Linked DNA regions of Saccharomyces cerevisiae S288C. The protein of the gene in region 2 interacts with the protein of the main gene of each other region in a pairwise test. Each region holds a gene or a part of one and is shown on either strand. Other genes may lie near its edges.

Region 1 (3,117 bases), on a different chromosome or scaffold from region 2:
AAGTTTTTCTTGCATTGGTACAAACATTCTCTTCTATAAATTCCTCTTGTAGTCATAGATGAGGTTTTTGTGCGATTGATGAAACTGATGAAATCTTCGATCTTGACCTCGTGTAATATAGAGCTTTCCAGTAAGCTATTTTCTTGTTTCCGAAGACTTTTGTAGTCCGCCATGTCAGACCAATATTTCCGTATTTTCAACTTGTCATTGTCATTTAAATTCGCATTTGCTTTGATAAGGGCCAAGACCTGTTTTTGAATTGGATCCCTGCTGCTGTGGTTGATTCGTCGCAAGGTCCTGGTAGGTACCATTTTTATAAACCTCTCGGTCCTGTACCGAACGAGACGAGGTAAAAACATTGCATGGAAAGGGAAACGTGCAAAATGCAAACTACTGCTATCCTAAAGTGCTCACTGTTTATTATTACTGGATTTCAGACGTCGCTTCCCACATCGTCCCGTACAGCGTTCCATGATGATATTATACCACTTCTTTATTGTTTCTTTTTTTTCTTGAGCAGAAAGTGAAAAAAAAAAAACCAGACCCTTTACCACGTGACCGATTTTGACAACATGAATATGAATATAGTATACACATATATAGAGATACAAGCGAGGGAACGGGGCCCTTTAGTACACTGGTGAGGCGGTCAGTCTCCCAGAGGATCCACAGGCATCGCACATAGACCACTCCAACGCCTTTACAACGCACACGTAACAGTAGTTCGCACGACAACAAGCGATCTGGTATGGGTTGGTTGGAAAACCGCCGCAACGGGGGCAAACTGTCTTATAAGTAGTCGTAGAACGAGACCTTGGTGGTTTTTTAACAAAGGTCAAGAGTCCTCTTTTCGTAAGTAGTGTATTGGAAAAGAGTTCTAATAGTGCATTCCATAGCAATTGTCTATTCTGGTATTCTAACCCAGCGAATACAGAGTTCGAATAAAATTCAGAGGCAATTGCAGAACCATCCCGAATCAACCTTGTGGAATGGACATTAAAAGCCCGGTATAACGGCGACAAAAACGCCCTCGCATTGGGCCCTTCCGCTGCTAGAAACCTCAGGAAGTTGGTTACATCACAGCCGTGATACAATAAATTAACCCATTTGTACAGCTTCAGCCACATCATCTGGTTCCCACAGTGCGGCCCATTAAAAATAATATGTGTGATCTTCTTCCACACGTACCCTGCCAAGACAGTGACGACATACAAGGTGCGTTTCCTGCACTGAAAAACCACGCCACTGAGTGCGGATCCATACGTACAGCTAGAGCCATAGTGTGGCAGGAACCTCGTCGCGCACATAAACACAACTGTGTTCAGTGCCAACTCCCATTCCTCTTTGTGTTCACTCGTATTGAATGCTGCATTGAACTCGGACCAAAACTGTCCATACAATTCTTTATCAAGCGCTATCGAGTCGAGCTGTGCAACTCGAGACATGCTGCGTTGCCTTTAGATTACGTCTTCTCAGTTATCTCGGCAATCTCTCCTCGTTATGCTTTCCCTCCGTCTTCACTCATCCCTTATAATGCGTTTCCCAGCAACCTTATCGATAGAATGGAGGGGAAATCGCATCCGTTCCACTCCTCGGATCGATACTAACTTCCGAGACGTTGCATCAAAGGCCAAGACATGGCATTAGTCACCCTTGTTGCAACGATAGACGCATACTACGGACCCCTCAAACCTCCCTACCTGCCCGTCGCTATCGCATTAATTTTCTTTTTTTCCACTATTTTTCCGGCCCGCCACACCTCCGACTACAAGACGCCACATCTACGTTTTGTCACACAAAATCCAGGACAATAGCCGTCTGCAAGGCACCAAGGTTTTCAGCAGTTGCTTGTTGCTGCTGCCTGTTAATCACATCAAACCCACTGCAAGGGCAGTCGATGGGTCTGTAAACGCCTTAGCAATCGTTGTTGAAGAAAGAGAGCTCTTATCATCATGGGGTGCCCATCATTTTTCTTTTTTTTTCAAATTTTGGGCTATTCAATGAATTGTTTCGACTATATATGGACAATCATCGGAAGCTGTGTATTCTTGGTAAAAAGTTTTCGACTGTGTGGCAGAAAATAACCGCAACAATTATATAACGTCACAGAACACATGAGTACCATTTATAGGGAGAGCGACTCGTTGGAGTCGGAGCCCTCGCCAACGCCAACAACCATTCCTATCCAGATCAATATGGAAGAGGAAAAGAAAGATGCTTTCGTTAAGAATATTGACGAGGACGTCAATAATCTCACTGCGACTACTGATGAGGAGGACCGCGATCCGGAAAGCCAAAAATTCGACAGGCATTCCATACAGGAGGAAGGTCTCGTTTGGAAGGGCGACCCTACATACTTGCCCAATTCTCCATATCCTGAAGTGAGATCGGCGGTGTCCATCGAGGATGACCCCACCATCCGCCTCAACCACTGGAGAACGTGGTTCTTGACCACGGTGTTTGTGGTAGTTTTCGCCGGTGTTAATCAATTTTTTTCCCTGAGATATCCATCGCTAGAGATCAACTTCCTTGTTGCACAAGTTGTTTGCTACCCAATTGGTAGGATACTGGCTCTCTTGCCCGACTGGAAGTGTTCTAAAGTGCCATTTTTCGATTTAAACCCGGGCCCATTTACCAAAAAGGAACACGCCGTGGTCACAATTGCCGTGGCGCTTACTTCCTCTACTGCATACGCTATGTACATTTTGAACGCCCAGGGAAGCTTTTACAACATGAAACTTAATGTCGGATATCAGTTCTTGTTGGTTTGGACATCTCAAATGATTGGTTATGGTGCTGCAGGTCTTACCAGAAGATGGGTCGTCAACCCTGCAAGCTCTATCTGGCCTCAGACTTTAATTTCAGTGTCCTTGTTTGATTCGTTGCACTCGAGAAAAGTTGAAAAGACAGTCGCAAATGGTTGGACGATGCCCCGTTACAGGTTCTTCTTAATCGTCCTTATCGGATCGTTCATCTGGTATTGGGTACCTGGATTCCTCTTTACCGGTCTGTCCTATTTCAACGTTATCCTATGGGGGTCGAAGACAAGACACAATTTCATCGCTAACACAATCTTTGGTACTCAAAGTGGTCTCGGTGCGTTGCCAATTACATTTG
Region 2 (3,415 bases):
GGATACCGGTAAAGTTGTAGATTATGATGATTTTAATACTCTCAAAGAAACCGAAGATTATACTCAGGGTAAATTTAATGTCGTGTTGGACTTCATCGGTGGTTATGATATCTTGAGTCACTCGAGTTCTTTAATTCACGCTAAAGGTGCTTATATTACAACAGTTGGTGATTATGTTGGAAATTATAAGAAAGACGTCTTTGATTCTTGGGATAACCCTAGCGCCAATGCAAGAAAAATGTTTGGATCAATGTTATGGTCATACGATTATTCTCATTTTTACTTTGACCCCAATATCAAGATTATCCCCAAGAAGAATGATTGGATACATGAATGCGGCAAGCTGCTAAATGAGGGAGTCGTAGATTGCGTTGTTGATAAGGTTTATTCCTGGAAAAATTTCAAGGAAGCATTTTCCTATATGGCTACACAACGTGCTCAAGGTAAGCTTATAATGAAAGTTGAAGGTTTTTGAAATGGGAGTTTCTGTCTCCCTAGGTTTCACCTCATTTTTATTGAGGTTTCTTGGTCAATACATACTCAAAAATATAATTAATAATTCACAATGTTCATAATAAAAAGATCCGTTTTGTCTATATAATACTATTGATTTCTATTCTGTGTTGTCAAAATTTATCTAAAGTTTAGTTCATTTAATGGCTTCATTTCATAAAAAGGCCAACCAAAAACAAAAAAATAGCGATACCAATATAAACCATTGAAGAACTATCATTAGGTTCTTTGCCATCTTTCTTGGAATTATTTTCTGATTGTCTCAACGCTTGTTCAGCGCGTATTCTGTCTTCAGGGTCTAGAATTTCCTCCAACGAGATGACTTTTTCCTTCGCAGCCTTTGTAAAAGGGTCTTCTGTTTCATCACCTGTATTTGCCGCATCCCCCTCATCCAATTTTCTCTTTTCTAATGTCTCTACATTTTCCTGTACAACTTCCGGAAAAATCAATTTGAATCTAACATTTTGAAAAGTGTTATAACTTATGGAATTTCTTGCTAATGTCTTCTTCTGATGGTCTGATGTTGTAATTGATCCTGTCGTGGCTTCATCACTGGTCATGAAACTTAGTAACCCGTTCAAAATGGTTGAGACAGACCAGCCAGGATTCCAAGTATCAGGGTGGTAATCACTCATAGAAAGGCATAATCGTGTGTTGGGCTTGAAACGTCCATTCGGTGTTATCATTCTGATAGCCGGTGGTTTGTATGGATAATCAGACGGGAAAGTTAAAGTACCGTGATATTGACCGCCCTTGTAAGGAGTATCCGCAGGTCCTGTGATAATATAGTGCCACTCTAAAATATTATCTTCGTTGGGGCGAGCAAGAATATATGGTGGAGGGTTTTCCACCATCAACTTGTACTCTTTCGTCAATCTCTTGTGAGCCTGCTTTGTAGCCATTACTATTGTACGTACTTTGTTTGCAATTTGCGAATGCGGTTTTAGTTAATATTTAAAGTCTTTTCTGCGATATGCGATGGTAGTCTTCTTTATCACGGCTCCTAAAGTGTGATAATCGGAAAGTTCCTTTCTGTTCTCTGCAATCGATTTCGGCTTTTTCTGAACACAAATAACCAAAATTTCCTTATTTTATTGGGGAGGCTATCCTAATTGTAAAGTGCAATATTGCTGTGGAAGGATATCGACTCAAGCGACCAGTGGAATAGGATGGCGAGTTGGCTAGTTTAGCTCTCTCCGACATTGTTGCTATTGAACAGATACGGTATGCCCGTGTATTTATCCTCCTACCAAATCGCGCAGCAAAATGGTTAAGCACGTGACTATTTTTCAACAATGAAAAAATTTTGAACAATAGATGATATGAGGAGGCATCGAGGGATTGCTAAGAAGAGGATATTCCTCATCATCCAAAGACTATCTTGTCGTAAGTTTCGTTGAATATGTCTACAAACAGTATTAAGTTGTTAGCTGGTAACTCACATCCTGGGCTTGCTGAGCTTATTTCCCAAAGGCTTGGTGTACCGTTATCTAAAGTGGGGGTATATCAGTATTCAAATAAAGAGACGTCTGTTACAATAGGGGAAAGCATTCGTGATGAAGACGTATATATCATCCAAACTGGTTACGGGGAACATGAAATCAACGATTTCTTAATGGAATTACTTATCTTAATTCACGCTTGTAAGACGGCATCAGTCAGAAGAATTACGGCAGTAATACCAAATTTCCCTTATGCTAGACAAGATAAGAAGGATAAATCGCGGGCGCCCATCACTGCGAAGCTGATTGCCAATCTTTTGGAAACTGCGGGTTGTGATCATGTTATTACTATGGATCTCCATGCTTCACAAATTCAAGGGTTTTTTCATATCCCGGTTGATAATTTATACGGTGAACCAAGTGTGTTGAATTACATAAGGACCAAAACAGATTTCAATAATGCGATACTGGTATCGCCTGATGCTGGTGGTGCGAAAAGGGTGGCTTCTTTAGCGGACAAGCTGGATATGAATTTTGCCTTGATTCATAAGGAGAGGCAAAAAGCTAATGAAGTTTCGCGAATGCTGCTTGTCGGTGATGTTGCTGGTAAGTCATGCTTGTTGATTGACGATATGGCTGACACGTGTGGTACGCTGGTGAAAGCCTGTGACACATTAATGGATCACGGTGCTAAGGAGGTTATCGCTATTGTCACACATGGTATATTTTCTGGCTCAGCTAGGGAGAAGTTAATAAATAGTAGGTTATCAAGAATTGTTTGCACCAACACGGTACCTGTTGATTTGGATTTGGACATTGTCGATCAGGTGGATATCAGCCCTACGATTGCAGAAGCTATCAGAAGATTGCATAATGGAGAATCAGTCTCATATTTATTTACACATGCGCCTGTTTAAAGAAGAGGTATAAACGAATATATTTGTATAAATGTACTAACAGATATTTTGAAAAAAAATGCGTATATCTATTCAGTATTAGCGCTTATGCTGCCACCAATATTCTTCATCTGGTCTCTATGAGATTTTCATTAAAGCTTAATCTTTTCTGATTTACCGCCCTTGCTTTTGGAAAATATGTGAAATTTTATTGTGCTCTAAAAAAAAAAAGTTATTACAGTAGGTGAAGTGAAATACAACTAAATTCGAAAGATCAGGAACAATAGAAAGAAACGTGGAAATTATTTAAAAAAGGAAGAAAAAATGGTACACTAATATTGATACTTTTAGAACAGATGGGTCTCAACTATATGATGTATCGAAACAATCCCGATTTATTTGATGAAGCTCAATATTCTCGATTTTCTTTTTTGCTTATTGCGTTTTTTATCATTTAATGGCGTCTTGGTTTCTGCAGTCTTAACTTCAGGTATATTCCCCAAGGTCTTTTTGCGTTCAATATTTGCAGCTGCCCTCAATTTACGATCCCTTAACCAATCATCG

What was found.
Region 1: the proteins of UBC6 (region 2) and PEX2 interact in a protein complementation assay, tested with the Saccharomyces cerevisiae proteins (one study listed by BioGRID).

The regions. Positions count from the first base shown.
Region 1 is NC_001142.9:35,247-38,363, reverse strand, and holds PEX2 (ubiquitin-protein ligase peroxin 2), read right to left. Parts: upstream 1,446-3,117; coding exon 630-1,445; downstream 1-629. Other genes in the region: CBP1 (Cbp1p), read right to left, coding at 1-359; oligopeptide transporter OPT1, read left to right, coding at 2,115-3,117. UniProt on the Saccharomyces cerevisiae protein: E3 ubiquitin-protein ligase component of a retrotranslocation channel required for peroxisome organization by mediating export of the PEX5 receptor from peroxisomes to the cytosol, thereby promoting PEX5 recycling.
Region 2 is NC_001137.3:357,562-360,976, reverse strand, and holds UBC6 (E2 ubiquitin-conjugating protein UBC6), read right to left. Parts: upstream 1,416-3,415; coding exon 663-1,415; downstream 1-662. Other genes in the region: AST2 (Ast2p), read left to right, coding at 1-475; ribose phosphate diphosphokinase subunit PRS2, read left to right, coding at 1,916-2,872; putative ubiquitin-specific protease UBP9, read right to left, coding at 3,247-3,415. UniProt on the Saccharomyces cerevisiae protein: Catalyzes the covalent attachment of ubiquitin to other proteins. Functions in degradation of misfolded or regulated proteins localized in the endoplasmic reticulum (ER) lumen or membrane via the ubiquitin-proteasome system.